Schizosaccharomyces pombe: one gene and its partners. The gene in region 4 interacts genetically with the main gene of each other region. Each region holds a gene or a part of one and is shown on either strand. Other genes may lie near its edges.

What was found.
Region 1: mutations in mus7 (region 4) and rad13 impair growth when combined (synthetic growth defect), as found in Schizosaccharomyces pombe (one study listed by BioGRID).
Region 2: of mus7 (region 4) and swi3, a mutation in one rescues a mutant of the other (synthetic rescue), as found in Schizosaccharomyces pombe (one study listed by BioGRID).
Region 3: of mus7 (region 4) and top1, a mutation in one rescues a mutant of the other (synthetic rescue), as found in Schizosaccharomyces pombe (one study listed by BioGRID).

The regions. Positions count from the first base shown.
Region 1 is NC_003423.3:2,672,281-2,678,214, forward strand, and holds rad13 (DNA repair nuclease Rad13), read right to left. Parts: upstream 4,290-5,934; 5' UTR 4,078-4,289; coding exon 739-4,077; 3' UTR 710-738; downstream 1-709. Other genes in the region: SPOM_SPBC3E7.07C (uncharacterized protein), read right to left, coding at 1-117, 173-227, 271-298, 360-371, 417-464; SPOM_SPBC3E7.09 (Sad1-UNC-like protein), read left to right, coding at 4,337-5,934. UniProt on the Schizosaccharomyces pombe protein: Single-stranded DNA endonuclease involved in excision repair of DNA damaged with UV light, bulky adducts, or cross-linking agents. Essential for the incision step of excision-repair.
Region 2 is NC_003423.3:3,090,204-3,093,598, reverse strand, and holds swi3 (replication fork protection complex subunit Swi3), read left to right. Parts: upstream 1-1,742; 5' UTR 1,743-2,071; coding exon 2,072-2,238; exon of another isoform or gene 2,239-2,296; coding exon 2,297-2,675; 3' UTR 2,676-2,740; downstream 2,741-3,395. Other genes in the region: isn1 (IMP 5'-nucleotidase), read right to left, coding at 200-286, 337-1,259, 1,309-1,516; SPOM_SPBC30D10.05C (sepiapterin reductase), read right to left, coding at 2,859-3,395. UniProt on the Schizosaccharomyces pombe protein: Forms a fork protection complex (FPC) with swi1. FPC coordinates leading and lagging strand synthesis and moves with the replication fork. It is required for programmed fork-pausing which is necessary for mating-type switching.
Region 3 is NC_003423.3:2,941,038-2,946,480, forward strand, and holds top1 (DNA topoisomerase I), read right to left. Parts: upstream 3,560-5,443; 5' UTR 3,544-3,559; coding exon 3,531-3,543; exon of another isoform or gene 3,478-3,530; coding exon 3,377-3,477; exon of another isoform or gene 3,331-3,376; coding exon 1,000-3,330; 3' UTR 697-999; downstream 1-696. Other genes in the region: HOPS/CORVET complex subunit, vacuolar sorting protein Vps33, read right to left, coding at 4,129-4,898, 4,950-5,222, 5,263-5,443. UniProt on the Schizosaccharomyces pombe protein: Releases the supercoiling and torsional tension of DNA introduced during the DNA replication and transcription by transiently cleaving and rejoining one strand of the DNA duplex.
Region 4 is NC_003424.3:2,407,998-2,415,822, reverse strand, and holds mus7 (DNA repair protein Mus7/Mms22), read left to right. Parts: upstream 1-1,775; 5' UTR 1,776-1,852; coding exon 1,853-7,519; 3' UTR 7,520-7,687; downstream 7,688-7,825. Other genes in the region: HbrB family protein involved in TOR signaling Bit2, read left to right, coding at 686-1,594. UniProt on the Schizosaccharomyces pombe protein: Involved in protection against replication-dependent DNA damage. May act by restoring active replication forks, repairing unusual DNA structures, and/or preventing aberrant DNA rearrangement at arrested replication forks.

The DNA of each region.
Region 1 (5,934 bases), on a different chromosome or scaffold from region 4:
CAGGCAGCTTTTCCTTTGGCGGACTTCATTTCATCCTCATTAACAAAAGAAGCTGTTTTAGGGTCTTTAAACTCGGGGAAGGTGTTTATTAAATCTTCAAAAATCTCATCATCGTATCTATTCAATAGTAAGCAATTTGAACTTTAAATTAAAGATGTAAATATATACTTACTTTGTCAGCTTTAACTCGCTTCCCTTGCGCATTTCCAAAAGACTCCAGTATATTTCTAAATTGTTATTTTTTATTCCATCATATTTTGCTCAACTTACGAGCCTGTTCAACAGCTTTTACTGCAAACTAAAATTTTTTAAATCAGTACATGCTTTACCAAAACTAAATACTTTCTACAACCACGTACCTGCATTTCAATCTAAAATCTGTAAGTATTATTAAATAAATAATAACCAAGGCTTACCTCGGCGGCATTTTCCGCATTTTCCGCATCAATTTTTGTACTTAACATTTCGAAAAATATTCTGTTTCTCCGTTTTTACTTTACTGCTGCTAAGTAGGTTGTAGTAGAAAGTGACATTAGGTAAGGTAACAAAGAGCAAGAAAAATTGTAAATAATCAAAACACGAATAAATCACAAAATATAAGCTATGTTGCTCAATTACTTTGTCTAAACACAGTTACAGCAGGAAAACTCAAAAAAATTTACTCAACAAAAAATTACAGTAACTTCTTTTATAGGAACAACCAGTTAAGTAAACAAATAAATAAATAATTTATTAAACTTATTTTCTTCTTCTTTTGCTGGGTTTTTTTAGTAAGCTAGTACTAAGCTTGGTTTTTCTAGGTAGATTCTCAATAGAAATTGAAGAAGAATTCGTCTTCGGAGTTAAACTTGCTAAAAAGTTATCTTCAGAGTCTGAATCTGAATCAGAGGAATTTTTGCTTGCCATCATTTTCTTCCTTCTAAGAATACGGCTTTGTAGTTCATCTGATCCTTTAGATTCACCAAATGCATCTGCGTCTGCCTGAATTTCTTCACTCATTGGGCTTTGATTGCTAATCTGATTTTTAAAAGATGAAAGAGCATTTTCAAGCCGTTTACTCTTAAAATGGTATGCAACTCTCGGCGCATATACATTAGTATTACCACCTTCAAAAAACTGAGTCAAATTGGACTGTGTACCCACGAATTGCTTTTTATGCATGTCTTGTATAACCGGAAGTAAAACTTCATTAGTTCGTTGTTTTGACCAACCCACAGTAGCCATCAAAAACTGGCGTAACTCGTCAAGGTCGGGTATGCCCCATTGAAACGATTGCTTGCTATCATCCACGGCCGGATGAAGATAAGCTTCATCAACTAACGGATTAGGAAATTCTGATGGTAAAATAATTTTTCCAACCAACTTGTTAATTCTCTTTTTTACTGGCGTATTAACATCATTTTTTGATGCGTGTCCAGTTGATAAACGTTGAAACCATTTTTTAAATTCAAAAAGTCCAGTGTCACCAGGAAATTCATGTAAAATCTCCAGTGCAAGAACTGGACCTACCCTAGAAAGTCCCATAGTATAATCACTTCCCAAAAGATGTGCCAACTTAATTAAATCCATTTGATTCACATTAAATTCTCTTTTCATATCATCCATTAAATAGAGTTCGACAAATTTGTTCTGATTAAACATATTTCGATATACCCGAGTTCCACCAAAAAGAAACACGTCTGAGTCATCAGTAACAATCCCATCAACCAGCTTTAGCTCCAAAAGTTTAGAACACTGGGCTTCTGCTTCTTGAGGAGCAACGATATATGGTAAGCCAAATAAACGCAGAAGTTCTTGACATTCTTTAATCATTACTTGAGTGACCTCATCCGCATCACGTTTTTCAGACCTTTTTTGATTTTTGAGCTCTTTCAACCTTTTTTCAAAGGCCTCTTGATTCCACTCTTCAGTTTCATGTCGTTGATTGAGTTCTGAAACAAACCGATCATATTCCTTTTCTTCTTCTGCCATCCTGATAATCATTTCCTCTTCTTCCTCATCTAAAAGTTTTTCAACCACTTCAGGCTCTACTTTCGAACTCAAGGCAGCAGCTCCTTTATTTGGAGAGGCTTCTTTTTGAAAGTCAGTTGGAATGCTAAGTGAAGGGCTGCTGGTCTCTAAAGTAGGAAGAACAGCGTCAATTGATTCGGATTTGATATCCCCAGTATCCTTAGCATTTTCGGAGCTCAATAAATACACTGACATGGCCTTATCACTAGAAACATTTAATGGGTTGGTAACTGTGCCATCATCAGCTTGTTCTTTCATATTCTCAAAGGGTTCCAAAGGATTGAGTTCACGTAAGTCTAAATCTTTTTCATCATCTTTTACCGGAAGAAGAGGTGAAATAATTGGATTTTCAATTCCAGGTTTAGCAGCGTCTAAATCGGATTCAATATTAACTGTTGCATTAATAGTATGTAAATTTGTATCTTCCACAAGTTTAGAATTATCCGGTGCCTCACTTGGTATATCAGTTTTAGAATCCATAAATGTTTCAGTTGGTTTCTTTAATTTCTCGAAAAAAATAGACTTTCCCCAATCCATAGGCTGAAAAGGTAAAGGATCAATTAAATCATTGGTTTTTTTCTCTCTACTCGCAGATGGAAGGGCATCCATAAAAATTGAAGTCCCATTTTCAGGATGCTTTTTTTCCGCGAATGCTAATGAATCATTGGAAACATCTCCAACATGTTCAAGTTTCAAATTTTCCTCGTCGTTAAGAAGTGAATTCATTGAATCCTCTGCAGGAATATCGGTCGACAAAATTTCAAACGTCTTTTTCTCGCTATTCAACTTATCAAACTCAGAAGCCGAAAGACTAAACAGCTCTTTTGATTTTTTGTTTTCCTCTAGAGATTGCTGGGTTGCTAATTGAAGTATTAAATCATCAGTAACATTATAATCTGCTTCATCTGATTGCTGATTTTCCGAAAATGAATTTTCTTTTATTTCCTTTAATTTAGCGGCTACCAATTCTCTAGGGTTCATGCTATGAGATCGGCTAGGTAAAGGCACATCGTAGAATGCCTCATCCTCGTCTTCGTCTATAAGATTGCTGCTAAGTTTTGTAGCCTCATCATCAATAATAATAGGTTCATTGTTTGTAGATCCTGAGATAACACCGAGAGCCCATCCACCTTCAGCACCTTCGTTTTTTACTAAAATATATTCTCGGTTTTTTTCACTTACTACTCTAGAGGGTCCAAACTCATTCATTCCAGTAAAGTCCATTAATCTCTGAGTTAAATCGTTACGTTCCTTCAGTCTCTCAATTTGAAAACGAGAGAAATCCATTCTATTAGGAAACATCTCGGAAAGTTGTTCAGAGCTTAAACCCATTCGTAAACGAGAGCGTAATCTTGCTGCACTTAAAATACTATATTTATCCGTATCGGGTAATGATTGAAATAATTCAGAGTCAAAATCAATATTTGAAAAATCAAATAAATTTATATCTTCAATTTTAGTAAAACTAGAGACATATTGTGTAAGCTCATCCTGGGACATAATTCGAGGGTCGTAACTCGACCCTAACTTATCAAACGAAACGTCCATTTCAGGTAGTTGGTATGGATCAGGCTTCAAATAATTTTTTCTTTGATTAAGTACTGGCTTAATTTCTGAATTATCCAATGTCATAGATGAAGGCATTTGTCTCTCATTTTGAACCGAGGCATTTGCCAATGCAGTAGCTTTTTTATTATTTTCCTCTAAAAGCATTGCCTGATGCCTCATTTGCAAAGCCAGAAGTTTATTGGCCGTGACCGTGGCATTTTCCTCCCTGTCGAGTCTTCTGGCTTGTCTTTTTTGGATAGTTTGGCGTTTCAATGACGGCGCTCCTCCATCAAAAACAAATACAGGTTTAATCCCAAAAAATAATAGTTTGCATATCCTTCTAAAAAATCCTACAACATGACTGCTTTTCAGCTGGTTTCCTTCTTTGTCACGTACGGCCTTTAAGAATTGATAAATCCAAATTGAAGCGTCAATTGCCAACCGTTTGTTAACAAGTGTTTCTAGCTTGACAGGCCTTTTTACCGGTTCTAAAATATCCCAAAGACCTGAAACCCCCATTGCAAAATATTATATGCGATGTCAAGAAGTTTCGTTGTAGACGACTTTATTTTTGATTATTATACGAAGAAATGTGATTAAAGCAAGCCTTTTTCTTTACCCTTTTTCTTCTTTTTTAATTAAAATCGTTATAAAAGACATGTTTTACCAACAAAGCGATAAAACAAGGGCATGTGCGATGATTGATGCTAACACTTTAGTGTGTGGCACTTGACTTGAGCCAATTACCACATTAAACTGATAGGGCTGCCTAAATCATATGGTCAAAAGAAGATTGTCTGCATTTGGAAATGCCTTTTTAATTTATTTTATTATATTTCGGTTATGCTGCTGCTCTCCACAAACGAGTCATTGGTGTAAATATCCGGCATTGTGTTTGAAGTCACCAGATACGCATAACGAAAATTTGGTATGTGATGCGTACCTTTCTGTGATTGCTACCAAATCTGAAGAAAAAGAAGCTAGCAACCCTACAACATGGGATTTCACTCCCACAAATAAGTACCAGGAACCTTCGTTTCACACAAAAACGAGTTTGAATGGAAGTGATACCATTTCTTCTAATTTTTTGTCAAAATATGAATATTCCAATGGAACAAGTACTAGCGAATTTATAGATTCAATTAGCCCACCATTGGTGAACGAGACGTCTACAATTTCATCCTCAAAGAAGCTAGAGCAAAACTATTCTGTAACGGAAGTTATTGATACTAATATTATTACTAGTTCTTCGGTTACTCTACCAATTTCTGAGGATGGTTCCTCTACTTCAGCAGCAGCTACAATTGATTCAAATATAGATGAAAAGACTGTTGCATTCTCAGAAGAAAAAAGATTCAACTTTGCTTCAACTGACTGCGCTGCTGCTGTCATTAAAACAAATCCTGAAGCAGTCGGATCTTCTTCGATTCTGACCGAAAACAAAGACAAATATATGCTGAACAAATGTTCCGCTGAAAACAAGTTCGTGGTAATTGAACTTTGTGAGGATATTTATGTCGATACAGTTCAAATTGCCAACTTCGAATTTTTTTCAAGTATATTTCGTGATTTCAAGGTCAGTGTAAGCGGTAAATATCCAAAATACGAGTCTTCTTGGATGGAATTGGGTACATTTACGGCCTTAAACCTAAGGACTCTTCAATCTTTTCATATTGAGAACCCTCTTATTTGGGCGAAGTATCTTAAAATAGAGTTTTTAACTCATTATGGGTCAGAATTTTATTGTCCTGTAAGCCTACTTAGGGTTTATGGAAAAACTATGATAGAAGAATTTGAAGAAGCAAATGAAGACTTCTTAGAACAAAAAGTGAACGACGGAAGCGCTATTAAAGCAGATGAAATCCGGAAGCCTCAAGAAAGTCCTATTTTTGTGGACGAAGAAGATACCGATGTTCAAAGCAAACCAGTGAGAAAGAATCCATCAGTCGAGTTGAATAGTACAGACACCTTACTTTCTTCTACTGTGATATCTAAGTCTTTGAGCACTGTTGTTATAGGAAATGAAACAGGAAAAAGTGAATCATATCCTGCAACATCAACTCGCTCTTTTAACGATATTTCTCCATCTTCTTCATCTTCTTACAGTACCGCTCAAATATCTACCTTTCCTTCTAATCAGGAAAGCATTTACAAAAACATAAATAAGCGTCTTTCTACCTTAGAAGAACGGAAGAAGGCATTTGATGAAATTGTAGAAAAAATATTAACAAATTATGGTAAGCACAATGCCAAAAACATGAATTTTACGCAGCTATTACATGAATTGAACTCGACCCTTCAATTAGAAATTTCGAAATTGTCGAAAAGTGTCGTTAAGCCGTCTTTGTTTGCTCTCCAAGCTAAACTTGAGCTTCT
Region 2 (3,395 bases), on a different chromosome or scaffold from region 4:
TTGCATAATGCGCTATTAAAATTAGCAAAGAAATTGATATCAAAAATCAAAGATTAACAATGTATTGAACGATCATATATCTTTTGATGTCAAAACGCTTATATGGGTATTCATTTTATAAGTATAGTATAGCATTGCTGAAGTATAAGAAGAATATTTACGAATGTGTTTGCAGTATAAGATCTCTCCTCTAATTAAATTACTTTTTTAAAAAAGAGAAATAATAATCTAAAAACTCAATCGTCTCGTGGGGGCTGGATACCCAAACAGTGGTAGCAGCAGCTCTCTTTGAATAGGTGGTTAGTAATCTTCAACAAAAGTTTATTTCAAACTTACCGCTTTATAATCATTGTTACCAGCTGACAAGAATTGATCACCAACATGCAGACAGCGAGAAGGATGGGAAATATTAAAAAAATGCTGAAGGCATAAAACACCCAATTTCTTGTCACCAATATCACACCAAATATCATTTCCACCATTGAAAGCAGTAAAAGGAACTGAGAAATTTCGTATCTGCAACGTTGCTTGTGTCTCCAAAACAGCTTCCTCCAGTTGCTCCCTTCTCAGTTTTTGACCAAGGGAAGGTACAAATCCAACTGATCTTTCTTTACGAACTATTTTTGCATCAATGTTAAGTCCTTGAATGCAAGAACGAAGAGTTTCTTCAGCAGTATCCAAAATTTCGAGAATCTCATCATGAGGCCATGTTTTCATCACGGGAAGCATCCATGAGTCAGCATCCACCCATTGTAAACCATGCAGTGGGTCATAAGCAAATAAGTAATTGCTCTCGCCTCCTAATACATGAAGTTTCCGTTTCTGCCCATCCTTCAAGTCGCTGTCTTCGATTGCCTGCAATAATCCTGAAAATCTATCAGTATACTCCTGGCCAGTACGACTGGGATAGCCAGCAGCAGTAAGAATGATGACATAGATCCCCCTCGAAAGTAACTGAATCAAACGGGATATAACAGGATTGTCAGGAAGCAAAGGCTGCCCATCTTCGTACAGAGTTACATCTCCATCAAAACTGACCATATCCAAGCCATTATCCGCAAGGTAATTCAATTGAGCACCTCCTAATATTGCCCTGACATCGTTAAAACTCGGTGCCACAAAGCTTCGTTTAGCTAGACAAAGCTTTGGTTCCAACGCGTACATAGCTTTCACTAATGGCAAAGGTGTCCAAAATATGGTGATCGATGGAACAAGCATCTTTAACTGGCTATAGGATCCACCTTCTGAAACTATTTGAACTATCAATGAGAAAGGTTAGAAAATTAAAAGAATGAAGGGGAAACTTACTATGAGCCTCAATAAGTTTTTCCACATCTCTTAAAATTACAGCGTAACGCTCAAGCGTTTCCTGCTCTTTTTCGCGCGTTACTAGTTTCTGTGAAGGGGTTCCTGCCTGTAAAACAAAAGGAACTGACAACAAACCTTTAATCCATTCAATAAAATCGTCCTTCCGATGTTGCTTTAACGCATACTCAACACGATATCTAGAAGCCATTGCCTAAACCTTTAATGACAAACACTTATTCAAAAAAAGAAATCTACACGAATGCAAGAAATTTGAAGGAAAGTATGTTAATTGAAAGAGAAAGGGTAAAAGTTGCTTTATTATGCTTTCCGAAACGATTCAAAAATGATTACGTTGAGAATTGTTATACTAGTATTAGCAGCGAGCACTATCACTCAAATACGTCTATCACAATTCCAAAAATTAGCTATAATTTATGAGCATTCTTAACAAAATTTTATAAAAGTATATAGTCCAGGTGTAACATGAGCCTTCTGAACTATTCTTCCTCTACACATTTCTAATCCGCGTTAAATAAGGAATTTTCTTTCATTAGTAAATTATAAACCTTTCTTGCTGCGCAGTTAAATTTGAAAGGTTCTATTCGCTTTTCATTAGCAGTAAAGTCAATAGTACATAGAAAAATTGCTAGATTAACAGAACTTTTGAAGCGAAACAGCAAGCAAATCGATATTTATTGCATTCACTAACTCTCTTTTGCGAAACATACAAGCAAATATATATTTTAAAAAAACACCATAAGAAATGTCTACAGCTGCTTCTGATTCAGGTGTTGAAAAACTCGTCGAGGAAAACAAAAGGGAAGAGGTGAAAAAGAATGAAGAAGAAAAAGAATTTGATTTAGGGTTAGAAGAAAATCCAGATTCTGTAAAAAAACCTCGCAAACGGTTGGCAAAATTTGATGAAGAAAGGTAAGAATTTGGTCGGTTTTCGGAAAATAATTATTGACCACTCGTTTTCCCTATTTAGATTGATTTCTGAAAATGGAATTCCAAAATTAAGGAAAATGATGCGCAAAGTTAAGTTAAAAGGAAAGGGTCATGAGGCAAAAGACTTAAAACAACTATTGGGAATGTATCATATATGGACTCATGAGTTATATCCAAGAGCCACGTTTGATGACTCAATATCGTATCTTAAAACTCTAGGAAAACACAGATCCGTCAAGGTTCGACGTCGTGGTTGGATTAATGAAATTGCTGTTGAAAATGGTTCGGACTCTAATGCTTCATTATTTACTGGTCCATCTTCCAATTCATTAGTGAATTTGACGAGCGGAGATCCATATGTTCAAGATACAGCTGATGATGCTTTTGTCGCCCAAGACAACGATACCCAATTAGAATAGTCACCATTAATGAATGATTGAGATGTTGTTGCAGCTTTGTTTATCAATATTAGTAATCATGATCATTTTTTGGGACTATTTTCAGCTACTTTTATTTGATGTAATGTTTAATTTATTCATTTTGTTTTATTTAAACGAACAATTGTAGCCTCTAACTCCGAAATTCAATAAACTATAGAACATCTAGACAAATGATTTCCATTCTACGAATTGACCAGTAAGCTTTGGATTGTTATTCAAGGCTAGAAAAGAAAGAGCTTTGGCGATGTCCTGAGGAGCCACAAGTTGACCGGATGTTTTAAGTTCTTTGAAAAAATTATGAGTATCTCCACCCATGGCTTCTTTATTGGAATCATTACGGATACTAACTTGCATAGGGGTATCAACAACTCCCGGACGTACTGCCACACTCATTATATCAGGCTCCTCGCTGCCAAGGTTCATGACTAGCATGTTGATGGCGGCCTTTGAGCAACAATATGCAGCCCACGCGGGAAAAACACGAACAGCAGCGCCAGAGGATACAATCACAATAGTACCCTTGGTTTTACGCAAATGCGGGATTGCATACTTCACTGTTTCAACCACACTGAAAAAGTTGATATCAAACAACTTACGCCATTCATTGATATCTGCATCAGCGATTTTGGCTATAGGTTCAAGGACACCTGCATTTAGAATAACCGAGTCCAATTTTCCAAACTTTTTAATAGCAGTTTC
Region 3 (5,443 bases), on a different chromosome or scaffold from region 4:
CTTGATGACTACAAGCCTTTACAATCACAAGAAAAAAAACTTATCGTGAGTTCAAAGAACAAACCTTCGAGTTTGCGTTATAAACAGTTCTAAAAAATAAAAGAAAAAGAAATCTCCAACTAAGGCTATCTCCTATTGAGAAACTGCTAAAAATGAATATTTAGGAATCCGGTTGAGTAAATGTAGGTACTCGTAGAAGGTAGGATCCAAATGCTAGTGTGTTCATACTTTGTTTTACGTAATTTAATCTTTACCAACCCGATTGTATCCGCTCGTGGTTGCATTGGATTGCTCCAGCAAATAGTGAGACAAAATCTCTTCCACTGATATTTCTGCTATACCGGAACTTGTGCCAATCTGACAAAGAGAACGAAAAAGTGGAAACCGGGTTTAAAGATGCGAAAAAGGCAGTCAAATGTAAACGCTAGAGAAAAAAGTAATTTGGATGGTATAGAAGTGCTTGAAAAACTATTTAGTACAACCAAAGAAGAGTAATTGGTATAAAGATTAAAAAAGCAGCAGCTTGGCTTTTCTTTCCTTTTCTATTTGTAAAAAAAAAAAAACAAAAAAAAAATTGTTTACAAGAGTAAGTTTGCTTGTATATTGAATTTGATGATCGTAACAGGCATTTCACCAATATTAAAGAAAAAGACCTCAAGAGTAAACAGTAATTATGAAAAAAAAAGCCAAATGCAATGGGGATAGTATGAAATGTCACGTTCAATTTGTTTTGTGCTAAATTTTATTCTGTCTATATTTTTGCTGAAAAAACTTCCTTAGCTTTGCATTTTTTGTATGAATTTTTATTAAACACTAAACTAGAAGTAATTAATTCCTTCTTTCAGCACACTAAGTTGTTGTACGCTAGCATTCATTTCAAGACATCATTAAGTCACGAAATTACGAAGCACTTTCACAATTTGTCTGCCGTAGGATGATAATAAATAATTTTTTTTTAAAAAGTTCAATGAAAGATACTTTTCTTAAATCGTAGAGGACTTACCACTTCCAATCCGGAGGTGTATCAGCAGCCCAATTGAACTTGTCACGAATCGTCTTACTAAACAGCTTCTCAATAGGAACGTCTTCTCGCTTGCTGAACGAATAAGTAAGCCTCGGGTCTATGTAGTTAATCTTACTTGTACCCAAAGCAGTAGTTTTATTCTCGTCTTTATCGATCATCTGAGTACGCATAACATTAATTCGTTCATTGAGTTTGTTTAATCTTTTCTCAAGTTGTTCCATCGAAGAACGACCTGGATCGACTTTTTTGCTTTTAAGTTCAGCGTCCAGCGCTTTCTTCAACTCATCAGCCGCTTTCAATCGAACTTCCAATTCAGATTCCGGAAGCACTGATTTGGGATCCTCAGCAGCTAATTTTTCGTTCTCACGATCGAATTTCTTTTTTATTTTCTCTTTTTCTAGTTCGTAAAGTGTCTCGTGATGTTTTACGATCCATGAATCGGTAATGCCTTCTTCTTTAGCCAGCAATTCGGGCTTGCTTTTAGCAAGCTTGGGCTCTAAATTCAGCATCATTTTTCGCAGTCTCATCCGCTGGTATTGTAATGCCTTAATCCTTTCGGCAAACCGTTCCATTTGAACATCGTGATTTTTGGTTACGGAACGTTGATGATTACATAAAATTGCAACAGTCCTATTTGCCCTATTATAAAATAGTATTTTGTCTGCAAGGGTGAGGTTCTTAGGCATTTTCTTAAGTTCCTCGGCCATGGTGTATGAAGCATTGTAGGTACGAAATACTTTAGCTGAAAGTCCATCCATAAGGCTAGTCAGATATTTGTTAAGACTGTTTGTACTGAGACGGTCGAAAATTAAATCACCCTCTTTTTTGGGAGGACGTTTAAAGATCTTTAGATTTTTAAAAACTTGGGGATCAACTTCAACCTCGTTGTAGTAACGAATAGAATCTTTACCAAGAAAATCGAAAACGACTGTTCGTGGTGGCTTCAGTGTAACATGTTCATATCGCAGTGAACAACAACCAACAGTATCCGCCTCGTCTTCACCCTTTTCATTTCCTGCTCTTAAAGCAAAAACATCAATTAAATACATGGCAGTTCCTCTTTGACGCTCAACCGTTAACTCACTTTTCAAATCTTTCCGGTAGCCTTTACGGATATCATCAATATAATCCTTAAGCTTTCTTGACTTTTCGTATTTTTTTAAGTCACTCTGTCCTTTTAGAGAACTTCCTGCAGCTAAAAAGACATATTTGACATTATTATTTATATTTTCATGCCAGGTTGCCAACCAGGTCACTGTATTATCATGCTTTACCTCCGCCCATTGATGCCCAGGGAGTGGTTCTGGAACGGGTACACCTTCACCAATATTAATGGTAATTTGTTCAGGATATACTCGACGCTTTAAAGAACCAGTTTTAGGATGACTACCTCGACCACGAAATAACCCTGGAGGTTCAATACGAAAGTTACCAACCTTCTCCTTTCTCCCATCAAGTATGCACCATTTATATTTTTCCTCTTCCTCATCTTTTTTCTGCTTTATTGCCTTCTTCTGTTCCTTCGGCATACTCTTCTTCTCTTCCCTCTTTTGCTCAAAATGGTGAAACATTTGGGTAAAATCACATTTAGAAAACTCTTTAATGTTGTGATTAAAGTTACATTCATCACAGACCTTTAAGAAGTCACGGAAAAAATTATCTTGGAATACAGGATTTTTGGCATGATCGGTTTCAAGCATTGCAGCATAAAAACCAGCAACTTCTTCTGCTTCGGGAGGAAGATTTACGGGGTTTCCATCGTAAATTAGCTTGACGTTCTTTGGTAAAGGTTCATAGGGTGGAGCAAAAATTACACCATTATGCTCCAATGTAGTCCATTTTTGAGTATCATCGATATTTTCTGAAGTCCACCACTTGTAATCCTCATCTTCATCTTCCTCATCGTTTGGTGAGCGATTTTGCGTGGTCGAAGCTCCCGAAGGCAGTTCTGATTTGTAAGGAGTTAAAGATACAGTCGAAACAGCTCTCAATGGAACTGAATCATCTGTGTCACTTTCCTCTTTTTTAACAGCTGACTTCGCGCCATTTTTACTTCCATTCGCTTTAGAAACACGTTTATGCTTCGGTGAGGGCTTTGCAATTTCATTGAAATCCTCTTCCTCTTTTACAACCGCCGTTTTTTTTCCGTTTTTTAAACCACCATTTCCCATTACTTTAGCTCTTTTTTTAGAGCTTGAATTGGACATATTTTTCTTTGAAGAAGCACGTCTCTTTCTAATCGGTATATCATCCTCATCACTCTCGGATTTGGATTTCTTATTCAACGATTCACTAAGAGGATGATTCTAAACAATTAGTCAACAATCTTTAATTATTATGTTGTGAACATACTTCAGAACTATCACTCTCTTCGTCCGACTCCTTCATACTAATCCGTTTAGATGAACCGCGTCTTTGCCTCCTTCTAATGGATAAAGACACGGAATCTGAATCTTTTCAGTTGTTAAAAATTTTGCAAATGTTGTTAAATTACGTGAAACCTTACCAGACGAAGACATTGTGAATTGTTTGCATACATCTATAATACAGTAAAAGAAGGATTAATATTGAGTACGTACACTCGTTGTCATGACAACCAAATATTGACAATTAATGTTTGTAAAAATTAGTAGCTAAATGAGAAACTGGAATTTTCAAATAAAATAAAATTTAATGTTACGAAGCTTGCAGCAAAAAGCTATAAATGTGCATATTTCAAAATAAACCCATTAACAGTACGAGAAAAGTAATCTCTAATAATTTTGAAAGCTTTAACTTTACATTTATTGTAAACAATACCAAAAGCCACTGAATATCCAAAACAAAAAAAAGGTGATTTGATTGATACAATAAGCCATTAGCTGCCAAATATTGGAGGTTTATTATTTAATATGTAAGCTAATATTTTGGCAGTAAATAGCAAATAGCTTAACAGCATATAGGGAAAGCTTTAATGCCACTTCAAATTCATAAACTACTAAGGACTTAATAAAGTGGGTTAATAAAAAAAACAATAATTAAAATTATGGGATTCTCTTAGTGAAAAAAAATGAGATTAAATATCGTCTTTAGCTGTTGAACAAATTAATGAAACTGGGTGATCATCACTCATTCAAAGATTCAATATTTGGAATAAAAGCTCTTATTAGAGAGCTTCCAGTTACCATTCCCGTAGTCATAAATGTGAATTCATATAAATCTTCTTTTTCTTGCAATAAACGAAATGCAGCCAGCTCTGTGTACGTGCAACCACCGATGAAAAAAACTAAAACACGACGTTTACCTGGTACGTTTGTCTTCAAATTTTTAGGCATGACCTTTTCCTGGTCTAATGTCCACTTGTCAACGTAAGTTCCAGGCATATTTTGCAACTTAAGAATTTTTTCTTCATTGTCTCTGCCTTTTAAAATGTCATATGCTATGTGGACTGACAAAGGACCGTACCCGCTGTACGTATAGGCTATATCTTCAGGATTCTGCTCATCAACTTCGTCCTTAACCAAAGGATAAGTGTTTAACCATGTAGAATAAGACAATGATTTTTGAAGTGAAATATTAGTGGATTGCCGGAGGCGCAATAGTCCTGCATCTATCAAGGCTTGGAATGTTAAAAGGTGATAATAACCATATGTTTGAGTGATTTCCCTACGGTAATGATCTATATCTTTTCTTCTCAAACCATTGGTAGTTATACTTGCAAGGCAAAGTACTCGAAAAACCTCTTCAACAGGTGCTTCGGCATAGATAATTTCATCTAATAAATTGAATTGAGTAAAAGAATCGGCATGAGAAACTAGCAAATGCTGAAGTTGTAGTAGCTTTTGAAAGTAATTATTTTTTGTGTGTTGCACCAAAGTTTCAGCGAGACCAGTGTCTATCTAATTAATAAAATTTTTTATGGAAATCAAAAGAAAAAAATACTTACGAATATTTAATGATGTATGCTCCGATTGTAAGGAACCCAGTTTGGAAACGAAGTCTCTAATCTGATTTACAGTTTTGGCTTGACGTCGACCTTCAAAATCGCTGGATAGTTTTCGAGCAATTTTGCTTAAATAAGGGCCTATGCAATTAAAATTTATGTCTCTAATTTCCTTGGTAATTTGGCTGGAAGAAGAACTTAAAGAAAACTTTTTCATCGGTCCAGTATTTGAAGCTTCATTTCGGTTAACCAAGGATGAAGGAAGTTTGACATTCACTAATCAGTTAGATAAATAATAAACAAATATGAATCATACTTTGCTGAATTCCAAGTATTTCGTCCAAAAATCCAAAGTAGGTAAGTTGAGTCAAAAACGGTGTAATACGATCTAATGATCGATCAACTAAAAGAACGCTATCGTAGAGAGCAGAAATCTCTCCTTCCACCTTCCCAAAGTTTATTGTTGCTTCTTCCTGGTATGTTTTTTCTAATAATTC
Region 4 (7,825 bases):
TTGGATTACGTCGAAATCTCCTTGTTATCTATTATATTGCACTATACTGGTAATGTAAGTAGCAACTTGTTATTAGTATTCTATATGATTACATTTTTAGCCATCACTAATATTGCCTACAGCTGAACCTCGTTCCTCAGTTCAGTTATAGCTTCTATTCGTAATTATCTAATAGATGTTACCAGCGGGTATTTTTGTATACAGAATAGTTATTCTCAATTACCAATAAAAACACCTTAGCTAATATTCTAACATATGATATTTAGCGATAGACAAGCATAATGTAGCATAACATATAGTAGAATTGCAGGTATTACAAAAGCGATGAATATATTCACAACTTTGAGCCATGGAAATCGACCATACACATTTTTTTGGTGTAGCATATGCTCAAATTGGCTTTAAAAAAAAGTTCATGAAATAAAGAAACTTAGTCATCGACAATGGACCTTGGAAAAATAGAAATCCGAAAATTAACGTGATACTGTTTCATATTTTGTATTATTTATTTAGTGTGCGTGACGCATGTTATTAAATATAGCCTTTGTCAAGTTCGTTAAATTAAGCTTATTTTTTATAGAGTAATTGAATCTATTGACGTAACTTACGCCTGCGATACAGAAATGCAAACAACGAATTTCAACTTTTAAAATCTACCATTGTCTAATATTTAAAAAAGCTAGAAATGAAATTGAGGGATAAATGGAAAATTTATTTAGGGTTAACGACTATCAAAGTTCAATGCCCTTGTTTTTTTTTGTTTCACAATGATGAAAATCGAACCACTACATCTAACTTAGATTCGGTAAAGTCTAAAAAAAAAAGAAGGAAGACGATATCTGATGCTTCAATCGTTTCTAATGGATCTCTAGTCTCTCATCCATCTATTGACAAGGGAAAACTCTCTATTCTCAAGCGATATAAAATGTCGCATCGATTAACTGCAATTGATAAACTAAGACCGCTAACTGTGTTGGTAGCGTGGAAACAATTAAACATTGCTATGAGACCAATATTTCCGCAACATCGTTACACCGAACAGGATAAGAAGAATTGGAAAAAAAAGGTTATTATCGAAGATTTAAATTTTTTAGTGCTGCGGTGTATATGCGCTTGCGAAGCAATAAGCGATTTTGAAGAGCTTTTGGGAAATATGCGAATTGGACTGATAATTGACATTTCATTGCTGGGTATGAATAGCAATGAGTCTTCCTTTCTACACTATCTTGTTGAGGTGTGGTCGATTTTTTATTTAGAAATATTGCCGTATATCGAAGCTACGTTTTTGCCTGTTACTTTTGCAAAATTTGAGATTGCTCAATTATTTGAAGAGCCCATGAAAACGTACTGGTTAAAAAAGAGTGCTAATATAGATTTGAAACTGTTTTCTATTTGGGTGTTTCGTAAATTTGTTGTAATGCCAAAGCTGAAAAAGACAAATCGATTCATTGAAATTCCTCAATTGAATACTCAGCAGCAGATTTTACTCGTCCAGATGATTTCCATTATTTCTCTCATAAAGCCACAAGATGAATCCGAAGATCTTCTAATGAACTGGCTAAACGAACTGACTTTAAAATTTTTATATGTCTGAAATTTAATATGTTTTAATAGAAGATAGACTTTTTATACTTTCAATATTTGTTTTTAAAGCCCATTTAAGCAATTTATCTTTTAATATTTGCGGCTTTTGTTAGGTATTTAATAATGTTACCTATTCCTTGTTACTCAATGGTGTTTCTATTTTGCTAACTGGAGTATGCAACAGGACCTCCATATAGACACTTTTTAAAATCGAAAGAACTCTTCTAAGCCCTCTTATGTAATACCATCTTTCCCATGGGTTTGTAGGATGAATAGTTTCCTTTTACTTGACCATGTGTCTGACTCTCAGGATTCTGGAAGTGAATGGTCAAATACTCATGGGTCTTTAATTTCACAACGTGGAAATGAATACGATGGAATTACGCCGGCTACTAAAGAAAAAAATCAAAATAAGCTAGAAATTCTGAACAATGAAACCACCATCGGTTCTACAAAGTCATCGGTGTCTTCATTGCCCGAATTGAATAGGAATGTTTCTTTTGAAAAAAGTGATCAAAATTTAGCTGAAACAAAGAGGGAAGAAGAAAACAAACGAACTGAGGTTTTTAAAAAAGATGCCGAACACGAAGCGGTTGTTGTTAAAAGAGATTTTCGCCCTAGACGTCCTGAGCAAACCCGGCCTTATACTTACGATTTCTTAAGGCATCAAATAGAGTTTAAAAGAATAGGCTTGGTACCCATCACCGTACCGCATGGTTTTTCTTCTGATCGATCTATTACTTCTAAGTCCTCTCATAAACCTGTAAATGTTATAGTTCGTAATCGTGCTTCTTCACGTAAACCACCCTTGACCTCTACTCATCGCTTTAGAAGGTATGGAGCTGTAATATCTGATAGCGATGATGATGAGTCTAATACTGAGCAAGATCATTCAAAGGAATCTAATCTGAATACAGCTGACAATGACCTCGCATTGTCGTCTACTATTGAAGGAAAGAAAACCTCAACTAGCAAAGAGGCTTTAGAATCTGAGTCTTTACTTTCCGATTCGGATCAGTCTATGACAAATATCTCATCGAATTCTACTGTGAGTGATCTGAATTTGAAAACTTTAAAGAAAAGATTACGAGGAGTTTTACCACCATCATTTCTAACTCTTCAAGAAAAAAAAAAATTGGAAAATAGAGGTGTCAAAAAAAAGACATCATTACACAAGAGTGTTATTGAGGGAGAAAAAATAAAAGGTGTGGCTCGACGGAAGTTGCATCCTAGATCGACAGCTAAACTATCTAGTGAATTAGGAAACGAAATATCGGATTCTGACAATAGCATTTCTACGCCAACACCAACTGATGATTCACGGTTTGACACCAGCGAGTTTTTAGATTCAATTTCTCGTGATAATGGCTGGTTGAAAGAAGATGTGGTTGATCAATTATGGCTTCCTAAAAGAAGTTTATCCGCTCTTAAAAAATCAAGTTCTTTGACGTCGGAAAACCCCTTTCAGCTAAATGTAGCAGCCAATGCTGTTTCTACTATTCCTGTCTATCGCACAACTAAAACCAAAATGAAAAAAAATAGATTTAAATATGTCGAAGTGGAAAAATTACCAGACCTTATCCTTGAATCGTATGGGAAAAAGGCGCCAAAGTTTTTGAGGGTGTTTGCTCGAAGTTCATCTCATATTCCAAAAATGATTAGAAGAAAAAGACAAATGGATTCCAAAAAGTATTTTTCCTTCGACAAAGAATCCGATCGCCAAGTTATTGATCAAGTTCTTTCTGATTGGTATTCAGGTAAACATGAGCTTGTTCAACAATCTCATTCTTACAAAAAGCCTTCAGATTCTAAGTCAGTTGGTGGAAATATTTTTTCTGTTAATTCTAAAAAGCATAGTGTAAATATTAACGCTAAAACAGCAGCAAATAACGGTTTGAGTCATCTTCAAAATTTTAGCGAGGAACTCTTAAAAAAAAGAAAGCTATTTTCTTCTCTTTTTTCTAATAACGTTTCATACAAAAAATCCAAAAAGTTAAAAAGGACTCATACAGTACATGACAAATGCCAAAAAGTTGCCAAATTAGACCATTACATTAGGGACAATATTGAATTAAACTCAAAGGAAAGAGAACATGATTGTTATGAGGGGACTTTAGCTGTACCCCAAGTAAATACTGAGATCCGCAAGTCTTCAAGAAAGCAGAAGGCTCAACGATTTATACGAGACGATTTTGACACCGTCTTTTTTCAATCCTCTTCAAACCCTAATTATTTTACAGATGTAAATCCTTTTTGGAATATAGGTATTTGGTCTACTACATTTAATGTCATAACTTTTAGACCGGGACTTAGTTTGCCCAACAACTCCTTTATAAAAACCCAAGGGTTAAATTCTATTCTTCAATTGGACATCGTCACACATCCTTTTAAGTCTGTTTATGCTTTTTCTTGTTTATTCAATATCCAGGATGATGTTTTTAAAACATTCGAAAAATTAAAAGACACTTTTGAGACAGTCTTAGAAAATCTTCCATACTTTACAAACTCTGAAACTGTTGACTTGTACAATCTACTTTCTTTTTGCTCTGCGTTTATTCTTCATTCTCAAGTATCAATGGGCTTGGTTAACTTGGCTTCCTCCTTTTTAGAAACCTATGCATTAGTCAATGATCGTGTTTCTTCTATATCGGGGTTGAATAGATCACAATTGGTTGAAAAAATAGCTGTGTTGTTTCAAACTTTTCAAGTTGTATTTTATTGTGAATTTGAACTTGGAAATCAGCAAAACATTAATAAAGTTTCCTGGCTGGCAAGTGATTTGATTTCAAAACTTCTTTCTGCTGGTCAATCTGGTCTATTGGAATGTTATCGGAATTTGAGAATTCAAGCTTCAGATACGACTGTAATTGACACTCTTTTTTTGGAATCTTGGTCAATTTTAAATCATATTCTTTTTCATGTATATAAGAAGAAATATGCTTTGTGGGAACAGGTGAATTCATTTTTTGATCTTCAAAAAAAGGAGTTGTCTATATTAGAAATGGAAAAAATTTGGTATGTTATAATGACGCTCAATCCCGTTTTCCAAATTGGGCTTAATGGAACGACTCATTCACCAGGAAACAATAGTTTTTGGCCACTGATAATCAGAGTTTCAGAAAGTGCATTTAAAATGCATAAGGACGGACACAATGTTAAAGTGGTTGAGCGATACCTTCGCACAGTGTTTCTTCGAATTCATTTTCTCATATCTGAATGGCGTTGGGAGGATGTGGCTCAAATCCTATTTTTGATATTCGATTTCTTTAGCCATAGAAAGTTTAATGACCTTTCTTCTGAAATATCTGAAGATACACCAACTGACTTTCCTGATTTTGTTAAGTCACTTGACAGACCTCCAAATCTTCATGTAACTGCTCTTGATACATGTTTTGTAATTTATTTAAAAGTTATTTTAATTTCTATAAGCCGTTTGAGGCAAGTAGATGAAAATACAAATTCAATCAAGAGGATAGTATCCAGATTACAGCCCTTACATTCACGTCAATACACGCGAGAAAGTCCATTCTCAATTAAGGACTTTATGTCTTTGGAACATACTCACACTCTTCTTATTTGTCTTTATTGGGCAGCACCCGAGAATTGTAGGCCCAGTTTAAATCGCATTAGGGATATTGTAATCGTCGATAATTCTCATCTTAAGGCACGTTTAATTAGTCTAAAAGCATGGCTTCACCTAATGAAGTATGTGATAAAAGAGGGAACTGATTATGAACTCGCTCAGGGAATGGAGTGGTTTAATTCCATTTTAAAAGTTACATTTGATGAATATCTTGCTCTCTTTTCAAATGGAACTTCTGTTGGTGAGATGCAATTGGCTGAATACTCGAAACATCAACTTGAAAATGCGCTAATTGTAGCTTTCCATTCCCTTCAAGATTTAATTCCCAATTCTTCAGTTTATATTAGTAGGATAAACGTTTTGGTGACGGAGCAGTCATGCCGGCGCATTCTTAAAGACTCTCATTTTTTTCCTCCTCGCGTTACTCTGGAGTGTATTTTATTTCTAAAAAAGTTTTTGCAGTATCAATCTAATACAGAGCCACCTAAGGTTACCGTTGTTGGTAGCACTTCGCATGATAGTCAAGATGCTTACTTTGATTCTGATGTGCTGGATGATAACACACTCATTTTAGAACAAGAAAAGTTTGAACGTAAATACGAAGTGGCTCAAATATTGAGAACATTTGTTTCACCCTTTTTGTATCAAACGATATCTTATCTCGTTGGAAATGACGAGGACAAAGAAAATTATATTCGTATTTTACTTTTACCATTAATGGAGTGCATGGCAATTTGTGCTAGTTTTGCTGTAGAAGCGAAAATCAATGACTGGAGTTACTATATCGATTTTGGGTCTGAGTCTTGGGAAAGGATTCGTAACACTCCTTTGAAAAGATCTCTCAGTACCACGTTTTATTCCTTCCTTATATCTTATAATGATTCTTTTATTAAAAAACATGAGGAAAAAGTCTTAACTGTATGGTTTGAATCACTGGGCGCTTTAGATGAGGATCATGCTGCACAATTTACGATTTTGTTATTACAGAAAAACCTAAAAAATCCTATTTTGCTTAATTTACCGATATCCGTCAAAATTGAGGAAATTAGTATAAATTACTTTAAGTCGGTTCACTTGAATTTATTAACAGCTGTGTTTTGCAACATGGCAAAACTGTATGCTGATGCCAAGACAAATGGTTTCGCGAGCTCTCAATATTTACAGAGCTTGTTTATTCATTACCTATCCTCTCTACTGTCTTCTATGCAGCATAGTTATGAGACAAATGGTCATTCTTCTGATACTCACTCTTTGTTTGTTATTAATTCACAACGTGTTGTCGGAGACATTTTACAGTATTGTAGTCAATTTGCAAATGATCGTAACCTTCCTGCCCTCAGATATTTTATGGACTCAACTAAGTTCCCCCAACCACCGGAGCGTCTCGAATATACGGCCTTGAGGTTACGAAGTTATGCGAGAAAAACTCTCACAAATTCAGCTTCTCAAAATGCTTTGTTTAGTTTCCTAAAAGCAAATTTTGATGTTGCTCTGCTAGAACAAAAGCAAACTGAAACTTCTAATCTTTTAAGGCTGGCTATGGGATTCCATAATCAAAATAGCTCCAGCAAATGGGATGTCGAGATTTCTTCTCTTCGGAAATTTTGTGTAAAGGAACTTTTATTGAGTTACCTTGGTGAAGGCTCGTTAGCAGCTATGTTTTATTCATTGTTACTACTGGAGGGTCTAAGCCGAACTTACAACAGCTTTAGACGTATATATTTGCAACCTTACATTCAACAGTTACTGTGTGAAGAAATTTCTGTTTTTGTGGCTGATTTAGAGAAATATGCTTTATTATATGAAAACAAACGCCCTTTACTTTCTGGGAGAATATATTACCTTATTTCTTCATTTGTGGCTATAAGCATGACAAACAAAACCAGTGGATTGCCATCTAGTTTAATATGTAACTTACAGAATTTTTTAGCTCGCATAGCTCGAGACTTCCTTCTTGAATTATGTTGGAATATTGAAGGGTCTGAGTTTCCCCCTCCTTACAATACTGTTGATTGTCGTAGCAAATTTGTTAAAACTATTCAGCAACATTGCTCAGCGGATTGGTACGACAACGTTACCAATATTGTACATAAGTCTAGGAAGAAAAAACTAGTTTTGCCTTCTCAGGTGGAACAGGAAGAAGAATACTGGTCAGGTTTAATGGAAGTTACTATTCAAATATGGAAACACGATAAAGGTTTTTTAGAGCCTGAATTAGATAGGTTTCTCAATGTAATTTGCAGTTATGCACCTGACATGAGTGGGTTACCGACAAAAATCAAATGCTTTTTGGATAAAATCGGCTATTCTTGGATGACTGAAGAGAATGATTTTGATATTGTATTGTTTTAAAAGCCAAAATTAAAAGATTTTTCAGTTGTGGTTGCTTTTGGTTTCCACGTTGTTTATTTTATTTATTTTATTTATTTTTAATATTTCATTTGATGTCTGTGTAATACACAAACTCATTTATTAATTATCTCTTGTTGTATACAAAATAATTAGACAATGAAATAATCCAGTTCTGCATATTTCTTTTGCTTAGAGCTCTTTTTTTTTGCTACTAGTACATCCATTAATGTACGTAATTTTATTATCACATGACTGTGGTCTAATTTGACCAGTAAAATATAATGTATTTCTATTATAAGCCATCTG